Oryzias latipes: one gene and its partners. The protein of the gene in region 1 binds, or shares a complex with, the protein of each later gene. Links are inferred from orthologs where the notes say so. Each region holds a gene or a part of one and is shown in the gene's direction. Other genes may lie near its edges.

What was found.
Region 2: the proteins of tubulin beta-1 chain (region 1) and pacrg are in contact, whole or in part, in a cryo-EM structure (PDB 7UNG), measured with the Homo sapiens proteins. The link is inferred for Oryzias latipes from reciprocal best matches to the Homo sapiens genes TUBB4B and PACRG. Residues at the interface, in NP_006079.1 of Homo sapiens: Glu194, Phe260, Pro261, Arg262, Gln291, Phe294, Asp295, Ala296, Arg306, His307, Gly308, Arg309, Tyr310, Val333, Lys336, Asn337, Ser339, Tyr340, Phe341, Gln375, Ser413, Asn414, Asp417, Ser420, Gln423, Gln424, Tyr425, Gln426, Asp427, Glu432; in NP_689623.2 of Homo sapiens: Glu40, Gly41, Phe42, Thr43, Val44, Ala46, Met47, Met48, Val53, Arg54, Gly55, Pro56, Pro57, Ala58, Ala59, Gly60, Ala61, Phe62, Arg65, Lys154, Arg160, Arg162, Arg191, Gln192, Pro195, Asn198, Ile199, Phe200, Asn202, Met203.
Region 3: the proteins of tubulin beta-1 chain (region 1) and efhb are in contact, whole or in part, in a cryo-EM structure (PDB 7UNG), measured with the Homo sapiens proteins. The link is inferred for Oryzias latipes from reciprocal best matches to the Homo sapiens genes TUBB4B and EFHB. Residues at the interface, in NP_006079.1 of Homo sapiens: Asp26, Glu27, Asp31, Pro32, Thr33, His37, Gly38, Asp39, Ser40, Leu42, Gln43, Thr55, Gly56, Gly57, Lys58, Ser78, Gly79, Pro80, Phe81, Gln83, Leu215, Lys216, Leu217, Thr219, Thr221, Asp224, His227, Pro243, Gln245, Phe270; in NP_653316.3 of Homo sapiens: Tyr523, Gly524, Val525, Gly526, Leu528, Ile529, His530, Asn531, Arg532, Tyr537, Arg539, Asp542, Arg545, Ala546, Ala549, Ala550, Arg552, His553, Lys556, Tyr608, Asn624, Phe625, Trp628, Asp630, Lys631, Thr686, Leu687, Leu688, Ser691, Asp692.

The regions. Positions count from the first base shown.
Region 1 is NC_019867.2:26,977,136-26,983,221, forward strand, and holds tubulin beta-1 chain, read left to right. Parts: upstream 1-2,432; 5' UTR 2,433-2,531; coding exon 2,532-2,588; intron 2,589-3,368; coding exon 3,369-3,477; intron 3,478-3,566; coding exon 3,567-3,677; intron 3,678-3,756; coding exon 3,757-4,817; 3' UTR 4,818-5,093; downstream 5,094-6,086. UniProt on the Homo sapiens protein: Tubulin is the major constituent of microtubules, a cylinder consisting of laterally associated linear protofilaments composed of alpha- and beta-tubulin heterodimers.
Region 2 is NC_019880.2:6,467,175-6,473,260, reverse strand, and holds the start of pacrg (parkin coregulated gene protein), read left to right. Parts: upstream 1-1,915; 5' UTR 1,916-2,060; coding exon 2,061-2,132; intron 2,133-6,086. UniProt on the Homo sapiens protein: Microtubule inner protein (MIP) part of the dynein-decorated doublet microtubules (DMTs) in cilia axoneme, which is required for motile cilia beating. Suppresses cell death induced by accumulation of unfolded Pael receptor (Pael-R, a substrate of Parkin).
Region 3 is NC_019874.2:30,064,920-30,070,905, forward strand, and holds the end of efhb (EF-hand domain-containing family member B), read left to right. Parts: intron 1-10; coding exon 11-140; intron 141-251; coding exon 252-332; intron 333-428; coding exon 429-496; intron 497-575; coding exon 576-730; intron 731-912; coding exon 913-1,120; intron 1,121-1,959; exon of another isoform or gene 1,960-2,058; intron 2,059-2,113; exon of another isoform or gene 2,114-2,769; intron 2,770-3,387; coding exon 3,388-3,576; intron 3,577-3,662; coding exon 3,663-3,844; intron 3,845-4,185; coding exon 4,186-4,332; 3' UTR 4,333-4,717; downstream 4,718-5,986. UniProt on the Homo sapiens protein: Microtubule inner protein (MIP) part of the dynein-decorated doublet microtubules (DMTs) in cilia axoneme, which is required for motile cilia beating.

The DNA.
Region 1 (6,086 bases):
TAATATAATACTGCACGGGGAAAGATTGCTTTTTTACATCCCAGAACAAATATATAAACAAAACACTTTTGTTCCCATTTGTCATGAGATGAACTCAAAGATCCGAAACATTTCCTACAAACAAAATAACCATTTCTCTCAAATATTCTTCACAAATCTGTATCTAAATCTGACAGTGAACACTTTTCCTTTGCTGAGATAATCCACCCCACCTCATAGGTGTGCCATAGCAATATGCTGATTAGATAGATTATTGCACGGGTGTACCTTAGAATGGCCACGATAAAAGGCCACTCTGAAACATGCTGTATTGTTTTATGATTCAGAAAACTAGTCAGTATCTTATTTGCCTCATGAACTGCAACTAAGAGTGTAACAATAATCAATGAATCGATGAATCGATTTCTATTCCTAGGATCAAACCAGATCGATCTATCAGAGGCAGAATTGATTTGAATTGACCTTTACGATTAAAAGATCGTTTCAAAATGAGATAAATCGATATTCGAATCGAAATTGGAAAATACGTACAGGTTTAGACATGGTAGATTAGTTTACTATAACATAAAAACAACAGAGTGCATCACAGAGGACAACACACACGTGATGGCAGCAAAAATGATAAAGCCATCTTTCCAGTCCAATGTATGGAAACACTTTGAATTTTGCAAAGACTTGTGACCATACAGAGTGCTGGAATGTTTAATAATGTTCCGTTTGGACCATTTTAATGTAGAAAAACAACAGTGGACTTAAAGTTATGACACCAAAATGTGAATGGATTTGCTATTAATTCTTGTTTACTTGCTTGTTTGTTTGTACACATACTTAATTTACACTTGATTGTCATGCAAAATATTCTAGGAAACTGGAAAACTTCACATGGACTGTTAAGTACCAGGTATTTATCTCTGCGTCACTCCGGTTTTGGCAATAGATGTCCTGGATTGATTTTAGGTCAGTGAATCGGATAAAATCGGATTGTTTAAAATGAATCAAAATAGAAAGTGAATCTAATCAGCGACCACAAATCGTTGCAACCCCTAAGTACAACACATCTCCTTTATATAGAAATGTTTAGGTTGTTGGTTATGGCCTGTGGAATGTTGGTCAACTCTTCTTTACTGGCTGTGCCAAGGTGCTGGATATTGGCAAAAAGGAACATGCCGTCGTGTACGCCGATCCAGAGCATCCTAAAGATGCTCAGTGGGTGACATGTCCGATGAGTATGCTGGCCATGCAAAGATCAAGTGTATATTCTTGCAACATGGGGCTGTGAATTATCATGCTGCAACATGAGCTGATGTTCTTGAATGTATGGCACAACAATGGGCCTCAGGATCTTGTCATCGTATCCCTGTGCATTCTAAATGCCATCAATAAAATGCACCTGTGTTCTTTGTCCATAATACACTTGCCCATACCATAACCCCAACACCACCATTCAACAACCTGATTAACTTTATGCGAATGAGATGCGTTGCACAGCACGATTCAAATGGTGGTCACACCAGATACTGACGGTTTTATTGAGTCCAGGACAAATGGGAGCTGAAACAAAACTTTTTTTTATATATTTTTGTTCAGCTTACTTAACAGGCAGGTCAGACAATCAGAACATGATTTGTGTGAGTTTGTCACATTTGGAAGAGCTCATTGGTGTTCATTTAAAATATGTTTATGTGTCTTTCAGAAAAATACTTAAAAAAAATCTAAAACAATTATAATTAAACAAAAACAAATTAAAAATAGAAGGGTATTAAGAACTCAGAAGGTTAGTAAGCACTAGTCGTGTGCAAAGCAGAGGAAGAAAGATATTTATGTTGGCCAACAATAAAATTTTAACATGGAATCAAGGGAAAGTTTAATTACCATATCTACAAAAGACTAGGAAAATGATATTATAATAATAAAATACAAGGGGGGGGGGGGGGGGGGGGTTGTAAAAACTAATTCCAAATAAATTTTTTAATGTACAATCGTCCATAGAAAAAGCAGGATGTAACATTTTAAACCTTATAAAATGAAAATAATTTAAAACTTCTTGGTTTTGGTGTTTTGTCCACCGCCTTTTGTGGATCTAAACTCTCTTTAACAACAATACAAGTTCAGTCAGGGAATATTTGTCTTTTATAGCATTAAACAACACCTCAACAACTTGAATAAGAAAGCTCGATTTCAATCAAATGAAAAGTTTAGACAACTAACGGACGGATTGTTACTTTGCAACACGAACAAAAAAGCTCTGCATTTCCGTTCCGCCATTAAAAATGAATGACGTCTGCGGATTTCGGTTTGCTCACGCGCTCATGTTTGAAGTGAACGACAGGGACTGTTGGCCAATAGCGAAGAGACACTTTTGGATTTGATTGGACGTCATTTCCCTTCCAAAGCATCTAGCCAATAGGATTTCCCAGATAACATACGGGGGCGGGGCGTGGCTTATAAAGTGGGGCGTTGTTCCGCACAGCGCGCATTAACGGTAGATGAGAAGACAGAATCGTAAGCTCCTCCGCCTGTAACCACCAAAAATGAGGGAAATCGTACATCTTCAAGCTGGCCAGTGTGGCAACCAGATTGGTGCCAAGGTAAGCAAGACGGCAGACTAATAAATGTTTATTTCTGTTCTGTTAAAAATACGTACTCACCTTTCTGAAATCCGGCGCTTTGTGTCCCTGAAACCACACCCTGGAGCCAGACAACGTGTCCTACTTTTCCGTTTCCATTTAAAATCCTAATTGAAAAGTTTTTAAATTGCATATTATAATACCATGCATTTCAAATGTTCATCATATATTTACGATAGTAATAATTATGAACGCCTAATGTAATTATTCATTCTTTGTCTGTTGAAAACACTATTTTTCGGGTTAACAACTTTCACTCTGTCCGTTTCTAATTTAGTAACTGCTGTAATCCATCGTTCTTGTAGCGATAATCGGGCCTAGTGCAACGCCGAAGATCTTAGCGAGGGAAGCAAAATGGAAGGAGGGGGAAAAAAACGGAACTTCAATGGCTTCTTCCAAGATGTCGGACGAAAAGAACTTCCGCCATTAATGGAGTTAATTGAACATAGTTACTGGTTAAGAAAAAAAGAAATCTTCGAGTCCGCCAAATTTTATTCACTGAGGCCTATTCAACCGGCATTGCCGACGAGGCGGCTGATGACGTATCCGTTAAGTTTCAAATATGCAAGTCATCCAATAGGGGGCCGTGGCGCGCGCTCGCCATTTCGGAGAGGCGGGAAAGTGCCTCGCCGGAAACTGATTTTCGTTTTTTTTCTAAATCTTTCCTGGGTTGGATGCTAACTTTTACTGTAATTATTTTTTCTACATGTGATCAAACTCAAATATTTCGTACATTTGTAGTTCTGGGAGGTTATCAGTGATGAACATGGTATCGACCCCACTGGGACCTACCATGGCGACAGTGACCTGCAACTGGACAGGATCAACGTTTACTACAATGAAGCCTCAGGTGGGAACATCATTTGTTGCACCAACCTAATAAAGTTTTGCATTTACTAAATAAATGTTTTTTCTCCCCTTTTCACTTTTGCTTTAAAGGAGGGAAATATGTCCCCCGTGCTGTGCTTGTGGACCTTGAGCCCGGTACCATGGACTCTGTGAGATCCGGACCTTTTGGTCAAGTTTTCCGACCTGACAACTTTGTCTTTGGTGAGTTTTTGTAAACCTTTAATTTTTTTGTGCACCATCTGCAGGCCAGCTGATGTTTTTTTGTTTGTCCTTTCTGCAGGTCAGAGTGGTGCTGGAAATAATTGGGCAAAGGGGCACTACACCGAGGGCGCAGAGCTGGTTGACTCTGTCCTTGACGTGGTTAGGAAGGAGGCAGAAAGCTGCGACTGCCTACAAGGCTTCCAGCTGACCCATTCTCTTGGTGGGGGTACAGGTTCAGGTATGGGCACCCTCCTGATCAGCAAGATCCGGGAGGAATACCCCGATCGCATAATGAACACGTTCAGTGTAGTGCCTTCTCCTAAAGTGTCCGACACTGTAGTCGAGCCCTACAACGCCACACTGTCGGTCCACCAGCTGGTCGAAAACACAGATGAGACCTACTGTATCGACAACGAGGCCCTCTACGACATCTGTTTCCGCACCCTCAAGCTCACAACGCCTTCCTACGGTGACCTCAACCACCTGGTGTCTGCTACTATGAGTGGCGTCACCACCTGCCTGAGGTTCCCAGGTCAGCTCAACGCAGATCTGCGCAAGCTGGCTGTGAACATGGTTCCATTTCCCCGCTTGCACTTCTTCATGCCAGGCTTTGCTCCCCTCACAAGCAGAGGCAGCCAGCAGTACAGATCGCTCACAGTGCCAGAGCTCACTCAGCAGATGTTCGACGCCAAAAACATGATGGCCGCATGCGATCCACGCCACGGGCGCTACCTAACGGTGGCTGCCATCTTCCGCGGTCGCATGTCCATGAAGGAGGTAGACGAGCAGATGCTCAACGTGCAGAACAAAAACAGCAGCTACTTCGTTGAGTGGATCCCCAACAATGTCAAGACAGCCGTCTGTGACATTCCCCCCAGAGGCCTCAAGATGGCTGCCACCTTCATCGGCAACAGCACGGCAATCCAAGAGCTGTTCAAGCGCATCTCCGAGCAATTCACAGCCATGTTCAGGCGCAAGGCTTTCCTCCATTGGTACACCGGAGAGGGTATGGATGAGATGGAGTTCACAGAGGCGGAGAGCAACATGAACGACCTGGTGTCAGAATACCAGCAGTACCAGGAGGCCACAGCTGATGAGGAGGGAGAGTTTGAGGAGGAGGGCGAGGAAGAGCTTCAATAGAGTTGCTTTGTTTTTCCAAATTTGAGCATTTGCCTTTCGTTCCAGAGGAAAAATATTTCCAAGTTGGTTGCAGAGAAAATCTTTGCAAGATTGTGTCAGAACATTTTTTTCCCAAGTTCAAGAAAATTGTCTGCAGATCTTCACGTGTAATTTAAAAATGATCTTCCTGCTTGATGCATGTTAAAGTTCAGAACACCTGGAAAATATTTACACAGTTAAAGCCACTGTAAACCTGAGTCTTTCAGTGTTTCAAATTAAAGTGTAACAACATCCAAAGGTCTCCTTGAATTCATTTAAATGTTTCAGTGTTTCAGAGAATTGCACCACCCACTGCATAGGGTCCTGTGCCTAACATTTGGACATTGAGTCTGAAGATCAATTTATTAAACTTTCAAATGTTAAAACCAGAAATTATAGATGCCTCTTCATTAAAGTGGGACTTGAAGATGTGTTTGGGACTTTGTCCACTAGATGGCAGTGTGGGCTTTTAAAAGAGAAGCACTGCCATCTAGTGGACAGTCAAAACGACTTTGATCTTGTGGCTTTCTGCAGTGATTCAGTTATAGATTTATGGGAATATTATCTACAACAATGATTAAAATGTTTACCTGTTTAGTACAAGCCTCGACGATCAGTGAGCTTTGGTTTTCCAACTAAAACTCCCATTGAAGCTCCTATTGACTAAAAACATGAAAAACACTGCTCTTGGGGGATGGAGAACTCCTGAGCTTCTATTGTTGGCACCATCCATCTTGTATGACCTGGCCTGCTGGAGAGGCAGCATCAGAGGGGGAGGAATGACCTGGATGAAGGGATCCAAATGTCAATCTCCATCCCCTGCTCTCAGTCCAGGGATTGGCATACATGTAACGCCACAGAAAGAGGCCCTGTCTGCTCTGGAGAACAGATTGACAGACTTGTGTGACGGACATATCTTATGACTACCTGTCCTTCCTGTCGGTTGTCAGGATCTACAAAAATATAACCACACAGACCCTTTCCAAAAAAATAGAATGTCATGAAATCCTGTATTTATTAAACCTTCATAGAATAGAGATTTGGGGCCTACTGTTTAGTTGGTTTCTAAAATTTAATTTTTTTTCTACATAAACTGGAGTTCCAGCTCATAAAACCTACAAAAACCTAAGTTATAGTACAGCGACGAAATTACCACTATTTACTTTGCGGTTTTCCAGAAAGATAAAGAAATTTTGATAAAAATTAATCAAAATAAAATATTCATATGTGGAGAGGAGCAGGTCACAGGAG
Region 2 (6,086 bases), on another chromosome or scaffold:
AAACAATGAAATCCTTTCCTGTAGACACACCCACTGCAGTGAGACAGAGAGCCTCGTTTGAATCCCTTTCCAGCCCAGATGAATTGCTCCTGGCATGTTAGTTTTGTTAGTTTGCTTTCTAAAAACTCCCTACCCTTTATTTTTTTTAATTATCTGGAAAGCAAGAAGAAAGGAGAGGCTAGAGCTGAATGCTGACAGGGACATAACCTTTCATGGCTTGTTTACTGGCACGCTTCCTGCTACTATGCCGTTCTCTCTCAATAGAGCCATAAAAAACAAATGGGGGCTTTTAGAGAAATTGCTTGTACACCGAAGATTAATAACAGCTGCACCGGTTCACCCAAGAAAGTCTCCAGAGGCAAGAATGATATTGCAAGTTTAAAAGTGCCAGATCCCTAAATTGAAATGAGTCAGGACTAAGGCGGCTCTAAAAGTGAAAGTCTAGGCTTTGGTCCACCTGCCAGCCGTGGAGCGTCGTTAAGTATTTACTTCTGCCTGAGTACAGTGATGAGGGTGCGATCGATTCTCCTTTTTAAAAAGGACTGGCATGAGAGCTGTGGCAGAAGCACTAAAAAAAGGTAATTCTCTGTGAGATTAAGTCATTTTCTCACTGTAGTAGCTCATTAGTTTAAATAGAACATTTTCAACAGAAGAAAAATGAAGCAGGTAACAAACAGACAATGAGTTGGAACAGGAAAAAATAAAAACTCGCAAACCGTTAAAACACTTTTAAAATTCCATGACTTTAAAAAAGTAATCTGGACATTTCTTTTTCTTCTGGATCAATGCTTTATTAAATCTTTGGCATTTAGTCCACAAAAATAACAAGAAACAAGGATAGGATGTTTTTTCAAAAACTGAATTTATTTTAGATGCTACTTTAAAAAAAAGCTGTGTTCTTTGCTTTCTTCTCGTAAAAAACAAAACTCTTTTTAGATTGACCCCAACTGAGTATGTAAATTGCATTTTATGTATTCAAAATCCCTTACAACCCATTGTAGATGAAAGTTTTTTGTTTGCAACCGTTAGATACCTGGATAAATGTAAATATGGAGCTGTGCAGTTAATTCAGAATGTATACATTAATATAATGATAAAAATAATTTTGTTGTCGAATTAGTTAAAAATGTATTTTTTATGGACGGATATCTTCCGCTCATCTTCGTGTCAGAATATCATCTTTGGATATAATATTACTCATCTCAGCAGATCTGGTATAATTGTTACAAAGCTTAAAATAATAACTTATTTAAATCAGCGCTTGTATCCCCCACTTTCTCCACCTCTCTTCCTTTTATTCTCTAACACCTCCCACCTAACATTCTTCCCCTCTCCCTCCCCACACACACTAAATGTAACAAATTAATAAAAAATAATAAATAACAAAAAGGGGTTTCTACAAATGTACACTCTGGTTTTTTGAAGATATATAACCTCTTTTTGTGATAGTAAAACCTGTCCAACACAAAAGGCCTTCAGCTCTAATCTGTTTGCTCAGTTGTTGGACAGAACAAGTTGGAAGAAGAAAAAAACAAGTTATTTTTTTGGTTAACCCAGACCTCTCCACAGCGCCCTCCTTTCAGAAGAAAGGCTCTCCCGCATCTCTAAAGCTAAAAAAATAAAATAAAACCAAAATTACAAAAATGTTCTCTTTTTTCAGGTTTCAGTGCAGTGGTTGAATCAAGCTGTTAAAAGACTCATAGACCAGTTCAAAGTTCTTCTAAAATTGCTTTCTGCAAAGTTTCTTTTCTTCTTTGCTTAGAAGAAAGGACATACTTTTAATTTTGAAATACTTTTTTCAATTTTCTAATCATTAAAGTTGCAAAGTATATATATTTTTAAAGGTATCTTGACCTTATTTAAAGAGAAACCATTTTCTTTCTGGTCTTTGTAGAAACAGGACACATGTTTGTGACAACCAGTTGCTTAGCAACCACTTGTCAACAGTAGCTAAGCCGGACAGCAGTTTACCAGGTTAAATTACTCCTTGTTTTCTTTTTTGTTTGTTTTAGTTTGGTTTTAATTTTGTGGACATTGTTTGGAAGACACACCGCGGGTAAATGTGGAAGAAAAAGAGGACGGAGCTAAAAGCAGAAGCCTTCACAGTGAGAGCCAGCATGGAGAATGCAGTGGTGAGTGCAGATCACAGCTCAAGCAGCACAAAGACTCGACTGTTGGGGTTCCCTCTCCATCGGGGTGCTGCATGTTTAACTGATAGCTTAGGTCATTTGTGACCTGTTTCAGTGAAAGGAAAAATAACTTTTTGTCAAAAAAAAAGGCTTAAGAAAATTTTGTGTCTTTGAACAATTCAATTAATAAAAAGCAAAGTGAAAACTGCAACAGTTAATGGAACAGTTAAATTTGAACATGAACTTTACTTTTTATATTCGTGCGATATTAGGAGTAAAGAAAAAATAAAAAAGAAAAGAATGAAAAAACAGTAAAACTTCCAATTTGAATGATGAAAAAAATCAATGCATGTAGTAAAATATTTTTTTAATATGGCATTAGCTAAAAAATTGTGTACATTTTTATATAATATATGATTTTAGGATTTATCTGTTTTATTGGATATTTGACAAACTGTTTCCTTATGTGTTGACTCTTGTATACCAAGAAACAAAAAAATAAAGATATATAAGAACAAAGTCATACCATTTTAAGAAAAAGACGATAATGTACTTGAATAAAGTTACAAAATGAGAAAAAAGTCACAATTTATATGAATAAATAAAAAACAAGGAAAAAGGCCAGCTTTTTCAGAATTAAAAATGGTTGTTTGAGACTCAATCCACGTTATGTACCAATTAAATCCAACAATGCACCTATTTATGGTGATGTCATAAGACTTTAGTTTATCATAGGAATCCATGTGTCTTAATGCATTCAAACCTCTGCATCTATACTGCTGAGGGCATAATGACAGGGTCGTCCACCAGAGATCCTTGTGGGTAAAGAATCCTTTTCTGAAAAAGTCCGGTTTCCTTCAAATTTTTTTTTAATATCTTCATACTTACAATAAGTTTACAGTAGCTCAGTAAAAGCTTTAGTACTTCCTTTTGGCTGAAGTATCCACTTACAATGGGTTCTACGTCTCTCATCCAAAATTGTTTCAATGTTTTTGTTTTTGTTTTTATTTTTGTCAGCAGTCTTTTGCCTTATAAATTTCTAACTTTAATCATCTCAAAAATTTTTTAATTTTCTTATAAAACTATAACTTAATTTTTGTAAAAAAAAATCAACTCTTTTACTCGGATTTTATGAGTTTTTTTCTCATAATTTTTCGACTTTGTGTTCGTAAAGCTTTGACTTTATTCTCACATTTATTTATTTATATTTTTATGGTGCTTGTATGGTTTAAACTTAGTTCAATTGATGGATTCATTCTGTGAGACAGCCCCCCCCCCCCCATTTCATTTACCGCAGATGAAGACAGATCAGGGTCTGTAATAGGTTGTCTCGCCTAAAATTATGGTTTTTATTGACTTCATAGACATGAATGATTCATTCTGTAAAAATATTTTGTTTTAGTAAGAAGAAGGAAAACAATTTAAAGAGATCTGTTTCTATTTTGGAGTCCTGTTTCTGTGACATGAATGTCAGAAACACAAATCCTAATTTAACTTGGATAAGGAAAAGTTCCTGAATGCAGGAAAACCTAAAACTCTTTAATTGCTCAGAATATTGTGAAGCTACAGTAAAGAATTAGCTTTTACTGATGTTATTCATCAGATCCAGTAATGAACACAGGCTCTTTGAAGACCACAAAAAACAAGTCTAAAATAGAAAAACTATACCTTCCCTTTTATATTCTCTATCTTAAAAAGGTTGACTTCTCATTTGTACTTCAATACGAGTTTAATTGGATTTTCTTATTTTAGAAATGATTAAAAATATACAGAATTCCACCCCCTCCCATTAAAAAAAGGCCTTATTAAATGTACACAACCCAGCATGGGCTTGGGTGATAAACTGATTTTCTCTTTCTTATCCGGCATAGAGCCTTGAAAAAAAAAAAAAAGGACAGTTGGAGGGATCATTTACCATCTCCTACCTTTTAAGGACAGATCTCCTGTCCAGAGCTTTTACAGAGAAGACTCTTGCACAGCCTTTTGATATTCTCAACCTCCCTGGAGAATCTGTGCCACAAATATTGCAAGCTGGCTGGCTAAATTCTTAACAGAAACTGTTGCATTTTCCAGGAGCTTGCAACTTTGACTCTTTTTTTTTCTTGCTTTCCTGTGGTCACAGACACATCACCCCTGAGAGGGCAGCTTTGTGTGCAGCTGTGATTTGTAGGTAACAGCAAGGCCATTCCAGGTCTTGAAAGGGTATGGGAACTTGAAGCATAGGCTTATTAAGCTTTGAATTATTTGTGGTCATAGAAATTGGATCAATAGTCCAGGCTCCTGCAACTCTTATCCCTTTTTCTTATTTTTTCTCCCAGTGATCCATCCTAAAGATTCAAAAACAGAAAAAAAATTGGATTTTACATTGTGGTGGGAGGTCATCACCTTCTGTTACAGAAAGGAAAGCAAAGCTGTTTTATTTTGTGCTGCAGCTTTTTTTCTCCCAAGTTTACAATAATAAACAAGTGGTATAAAAACTAGAAACTAGGGAGCAAAACTTTTAGTGTGGTTTTCAGACAAAACAGAAATCTGAAAATGACATGGGATTTAATTACACATGAAAAAGAAAAATCTAAATAAAAGTACTAATTAAATGGTTTGACAAGGTTCATAAATTTTGTTTTTCAAACTATTATACCGATGCCAAACCAACTAACTGTCTAGCAAAAATCCTCCGTCCTAAACAAAAGATTTAAAGACAATATACAATTAAAGTCGCGAGCAGCGTTGTTTGGCCCGCAGGCGCTACCTCCTGCCTTCGCTGCCTGTCTGCCCCGCCGTTCAAAATCTACAACTTCTAAGTCCAACATTTTTTCTTTAGTAGCTTGTCATTGATGCCTGAGAAGGTACAAGACGATAGATAAAAATCTCTTGGACGGGTTTTCATTTGTATCTGTTACAAAAGGTGCTTTTTTTTAAATTCAAGATGGCGGCCACCACCAAAGGTCAAAGGTCAGTGAAATGTCTGTGGTCGTTGTAGACTTATGATAGCAGCATGTGTGTGAAATTTTGTGAAGATCGCTGGAACAAAAGTTTCCCTTCCCATATTGTGATAAAATGTGAAAATCACCAATTCTCGGAGTTTGCCACAAAATGGCTGCCAAGCCATTGGTCGTTTGGCCATCCCATAATAATTTCAAAACTTTCTTTGGATATCCTTGACCTGTGTGTTTTGGTTTCGTCACTGCATTTTGAAATATTTTTTTCTGGCCCTGTGGATCTTTTAGCCCATTCATCTTTTTTTACGGTATTGCTCGATGTGATGTCATCATCTTGGATTGGGGGGGGTTCGTTCACTTAATCAAAATTCCCTTTCACCGGGTACTAGGTATGTGCAAATTTTGGTGAATTTTCGAGTATGTGGGGTGGGGGGGTGGGGGTGGGGGGTTAAAAGGTGCAGACAGTAAGCACAATAATAATGAAACAAAGCAGAAACACTACAGATGTTTTTTGCAGTTAGAACCGTCTATGTCTTTGTTTGTATTTTGTGTTTTACTACACACTGTTCATGTCTTTTCGGGTTCCTTTGAGGGCTTTTTGAACCTTTTTGAGTTTTTTTTTTCCGTCGTTGTGAACACATTATGGTCTGAGCAGTCCTTGACTGCTGCAGATAATCATAATTATTATTTTAGAAGCACTACTCTGAGAAATATTTTCAAAAGTCAGAAGTGATTCAAAATGGATAAAACAAGGTAAAAACAATGCTGTGCTAACTTTAGTCTGACAGTGAAACTGTTTGGATAATCTGGTTAAATACTGTAACCACATGGTGCCACCTTATTCCAGTTTTTACCTTGTGCCGTATAAAAAAACATCTGTGTAAAGGCTAAAAAACGAAGCCAAAAGGATAAACAAAATACTGGTACAACCTGGTTTGATTCAATTATGAGATTCACTCCTTTACGAATGAAAGTTCAGGATTTTAAACGAGCAGTGTTCGTTGGTCCAAACAAAATT
Region 3 (5,986 bases), on another chromosome or scaffold:
TCCATTCCAGGAGGGCGACTCAATAGAAAATACGACTCCAGATGTTTCAGTGACGACTGCAGGTTTGGGATCCCGACGCCACATTTCAACGACGGGCGCATCGTTGGGAAAACCCTCAAATGGCTCGGAGAGACACAGAAGTGAGTCATAACATGACGAATGAAACAATGTGATGTTTGTTCTTCATTTGCTCTACTGACTTCATATGTTCAAGTCAGTCCTCTTCAATCTGATGGGATTATTTTGCACAGGTTTTATAATCCAAACCCCGTTTGGCAGAGATCTGGTACCAAGGAAAAACTGGCACTGGAGTTTGGAAAAGTTGAGAACATGTAAGGTTTTTTATTATTTATTTTTAGTTTTGACCTCCTTTGTGACCTGTTCTGTTAAATGTACGCAATATTTAAATTAATATCTTTTGCTTGCAGAAAACTAAATGCTCCACCGCTTCCAACCGATCACATTTTTGGAATCGTTGTGCCACCAGATTACACGGGTAGATCTGCTGATAAAAACAAAGACACATCCAAGAAAATAGTTGAAATATCTTCATGACGTAGCTCCTCCCTTCACAGGAGCTGGAGAAATAATCCACTGCGCAGAGCCGGGTCAGTACACCAGAGGTCGTGACAGCTGGAGTGGTCAGGTCCAAGCCCTGAGACACCACCTCAGGAATCTCAACTTCCAGAACTTTCCCTCTTTGATGAAGGCCTTCCAACATTATGACAAGGCAGGAGCAGGTTCAGCCTGATAGAACACCAGAAAAACCCTTTTTCACCTGTGTTCTTTAATGTTCTATTATCTAAAAGTAGAATGCAAAAAGGATAGACACCAGATTGATATCGTTTGTTAAAAATGTTGCTGTCCAAAAGTTAGTTATCTACATTTTTCTGTGAACCTGTAAATCACTAGAAAGGAAAGGAAATGATCGACAAGGACGACCTGAAGGCGGTCTTCCGTGAGTTCCAGCTGGATGTGAAGGAAGCGGTTGTGGATCAGCTCCTGGCCTACTGTGACGCAGACAAAGACGGACTTCTCAGCTTCACAGAGTTTGCTAACTTCCTCAACTGGAAGGACCTGATGCCCCTTCACAGCCAGAAGCTGCGCGGTCAGCGGAAAGGTCAGTGAGCCGCACGGCTTCTCACCGACCCAGGCTGGATGGAAGCAAACAGAAGTGTTTGCCCCTTTAAATGTGGGCAGAAGAGACGCATGTTAGGAAGCTGAAAAACAGGAAATATGGCTAAAAATGAGATGCGCCAAGTGCTAAAAATAATTATAATAATTATAATATTTGTTTTTAACTTAAAAATAAATAAAAACAAAATAGAGTTGATGGTATATGTTAATAGTGCTCACTTGGATTTTGTGAATTTTTAAATAAATGCAGATTTATTTAATTTATCTTTGGGTTTTTCTTTTCAGTACCAAGAAACTTCACAAAGAACAACAATTTACAAAAAAGTTGAATGTATACATAAATCATCAAAATACTTTCAATAGTAATTCTGTATAAATATTTACACATTTGTAAAGACCAATTATGCCATGGTAAACTAACTGGACAAAATCATAAAATATAAACTTTAGCCCCACCCCCTTCACTTGTTGCAATGGTTTGCTCCAAAGGCTCCCAAACACTGTTTTGTGACTCTGCAGCTTTTTACTCAGCTTTGCTGCCAAAAAAAGCAGGTAAACACGATTTAATTAATTTATTTGACTTTTATGAATAACCACATAATTGTTTTAATGCTATAAAGCATTCATTGTTTTCCTGTTTCTTTATTATAGTATCTTCCACCAGTATTTGCCGCTTAACTCCTTTTACAACTTTCAGCTATTTTAACCATTCAACTATTAAAATATTCAGCTTTTTCCAGCTGTGACTTTTGGTCTTTCAAATCCTTGAACCGTTTAAGATATTCCAGGAAGGATGTTTATTGCAGGTTTTTTTTTTTTTTTGTTGACACAGAAACACACAAATATACTTTTTCTCCAGAAAACATTCAAATATAGGACAGCGTCTCTAACTGTTGTCGTCTCATTTGGCTGCTCAAACGGGTCCAGCTGGAGTCTATGAAACCCTGGTGTTTGTGGATTAAATGGAAAAATTCAGGAAGGTTTCTCTTAGATTTCTATATGCTAACATAATATGTTAGATTCAATAAAACATTGTTTTGATGGTTCAAATATTCTGTTGGTTGAGATTCTTCTGACATTTTAGGATGTTTGTTTGCATGTTTGGAGTGACAGAACGGGATCGACAGGTAGTTCCTGAGTTTTTGCCCCGCAGCAACGATTTAGATATCTGTGGAGTCTGTGTCCTGTCATAGTCTACGTGTTCAGTTTTCTAGCTTGACGTCATGAAGACTTTGGCAGCTCGGACACAGATGTGCTGCCCTCATAGATGGTTTACAGGCTGGAAACAGAGCTTTAGCTTCCACTGGGCTTTAGTGTTGAACAGCCTGTCAGCTGTCAGCTGCCTGGATGATGGGAAGTGGACCGTACATGGCCTGCATAATAGTCTGAGTTAGAACCGGCACTGCTTCAATGAGCTAAATACCTGCATAACACGTTAAACAGTGCTGAGAAATGTTAGACCGGCAACAAAAATAAGCAAAAACATTCAGAAAAAGATCACGTTTTAAATGTTTGTTCAACCGAAAATGCATCTGAATTTTTCAAAAAAATTACAAAATAAATTCTAAATGCTTGTTAAGTTGGAAAAGTGCTGAAATCTGCTGTCAGGACCACAAGTGACGAGCTTTTCAGTATAAAATCTAGACGTTCTGAAAAAAGAAATCAAAAAGCACGTGAAGCTTGATCCTGTGACTACTGAAAGTTTGAATATTGATTATAGGTAAATGAATAAAACTTATATGGTTATGAAAGGCCAGAAAATTCACATCTAATCCTTTGGCTTTCAAAGTCGTTACAAAAACGGAATTGATAGCAGAAAGATTAAAGTATCTGAAAATAGATGCTAACAAGATAAAAGTATTTCTGTAACCTTTTCTGTTTGATGGTGGAATTCTGTTTATTAAGGGTTTTAGTAAGACTCCTGAACTCCTGCAGAACCCTCAGGTTTTGTTCATCCTCTGATTTCTCCTTCCACTTTTTGCACATAATCTCTTTGCACGGCTGAATTGTTTGTCTTTATGTTGCGTCTGCCTCACTAACCCGTTTTGACTTGTCTGTGTCCTTCTATTGCTTGTAATGTTTAGATGCTGTTTTGTTTTGTGGCCGCAGGAACTTAATTTTGCTCTGCAGTGCATCGTCCATGCTGTGCACGAATGACAAAGAATTCTGAGTCTGAATAAATCTTATGCAGGAGTCCTGCACGTTTTGCCTATTTTGAGAAAGCTTCTGTGTTGTTTTTCTCTTTCTTAGAACATCAGTCCTGCCCATCAGAACCAGCACAGCAGCTTCTCTTTCAGGCCTCGATCAAGCCTGAAGATCCGGAGCCAGTTAGACCCGGCAGCACCGAGAAGCCCATCAAAACACTGACAAGAACAAGCGCAGCTCCAGACCAGTTTATGACCTCCTCCTCTCTCACCGGGGCTGTCAGTCACACATCAAGTCAGTCCAGGGAGAATTTAAGTACCAAACTCTTTTCTTTTCGTTCTTTTTTTCCCTTCATTTTTGTGTGTTGTGCCTTTCCACAGATAGCCGCACATCCGGCGTCCCATCTGTTCGCTCCGATCTTCCAGCTCCACGCCTCAAGAGGATGGGCGACACCACAAACTACGGAGACTCGTCCACAGCAGCAGATCTTCTACATCCATCAGTTCACGCCCTCAGAGGAGTTCATGAGGAGCACTTCCTCTGTCCTCGCTCCAAGGAGGAGGTAAAGTCTCTCCTCTGGTTGAAGGATGCTCGTCTGTCTCTGAATGCTGGGATTTGAACGAAATTAATAAAGACTTCTCACATATATGTTGACATTTGTGGATCTGCCTCTGCTAATCCTTGGATTCAGATAATCTGCTCAGTCCTCTTTGATTATTGTGGTGAACTTTGACCTAATTAGACGGGTCTGCTCGTTGAGCTGTCTTTAGAAATTTCTAGGCACTTATATTTTTACATTACAACTCGTTCAGCATCTTGTTAGATTTTGTTTTCTGTGTATTGAAGCGAAGAAAGTGTGATTTAAAAACGACAGAAAAGTGTTTATTTTTGACCTTTTTTCAGATTTCAGAGATCTTCAGGAATGTTGGTGTGGACATTTCAGAGAAGACATTTGAGGAAGCCTGGACGCTGGCGTCCATGAAACGTCCAAACAGGGAGGTTTGTGTGGAGACTTTTCGTAACACACTAAAGGAAATAAAAGCAATGTAACGTCAGCGTATTTTCTCTTTATCGGATATTTCTCCATTTTTAAGTTTAATGAAAGCAAATGAAGTCAGAAATCCACAAAGAAAAACACATTTTCATAGAATAATCTCTAATTTGTCAGATGGATCTTTATGGGGAACGTCGCAGCCTGTTCCTGAATTAAGTGCCTTCAATGATAGGAGTTATGAATAAGTATGAGTGTCGAAGATCATAACTCTGGTATTTTTTTTATAACGTAAAGTTCATGACAATAAATTTACCTTGAATAATTACGTAAATCTTTAACTAAACATCATTTTTGTCTATTTTTGTTCTTGCATGTTGAAAATGGGGAGCATGGATGCATTTAGTTTTTGTTCTTGTCAAAAAATAAAATAAATATTTTTATTCAAACTTTTTTTTTTCTCATAAAGTTTCTGTTTATGGAAAGACAAAATCCTAATCTAGAAAACATTTAAAAAGATGAAATCCTCATCTCACTTTTCAGTAAAGCCTTACGCTGCAAATGATTCAGACATCCAACAGATGAGACACTCATTAAAGGACAAGAACCTTCCAGTATTGGGGGGCGGTGGCCTCCAACCTTTAATGTCAAACAGTATTTTCCCAGACCGGTCTGTACAGGCCTGAAGTTGGAGTCTGAATTTATTTTTGGCCTCCAGCTTTTCTTAACTTTTGAGAGTTAAGTTTATCTTCATCCTTTTATAAAACATCTGCAGCTGCTTTAAACTTTATTCATACACTAAATAGCATGTAGGAACCATTAAAATGTGATTCTAACCCATAACTGTCAAAGTGGAAGCTAAAACATCAAACGCCAACTTCATGACCATGAATAAAAAAAATTCAAAAGTTACTAAAACTGGTATTTTCTAAACATAATAATAAATGTGAATCCACAGCTTGAACAACTGTATTAGCAGCATCCTTGTAAGAATAAACAGATGGTTGCTTAATATTCTGCATTATTATTATGGTCTGTAGGAACAACTGTCACAAATAATCCACATGTGGAGTAAAGACTCTTGGTTTTTGTCTGTTAATTGCAGCTTTCTTTTATTTTGAAGTCAAGGTATATTCTTCTGTTTCCTCTCTGGCTCTGCCAAAAGAATATGCGATTGTTTTTTCTTAACTTTGCGCTTTGGGGGCTTTTAAGAAAGCAGTGGATGAATTTTCAACCCTGTGACAGAGCGACTGTCAAGAACGAGCCGGATGTGGTGGAGAGAATCTAATCGTTTTTCAAAATAAAACTTCCTTAGTCCCACTGCCATAAACTCCTCTTAGCAGAATCCACTTCTCTCTGTTTAAAACACTTATAGTCAAAAAGAAACTAAAAGGTTTTGACATTGGAGTAAAGAAATCCAGGAAGACGGGGGGGACGTGGTCACCTGACAGGTGTGTGCGACAGCTGGTAGGGTCGCACCTTCTGAGGAAAACATGTCGGGATTAAGGACTTCTATATTCTTCCATAGTAATAAATAAACACACGGAAGAATAAAAATATTTGATTTCAGCTTAACATTTTATCCAAATAGAAAAAAGCTAAAAATCCCTCCATTTTCAAACAACTAATCCCAGTAAATCCACAAGTAAATGTCACTTCCTTTCCTAGCTTTTCATCCTGTCCCTTTCTCCACAAGAGCTCACAACAGCCAGC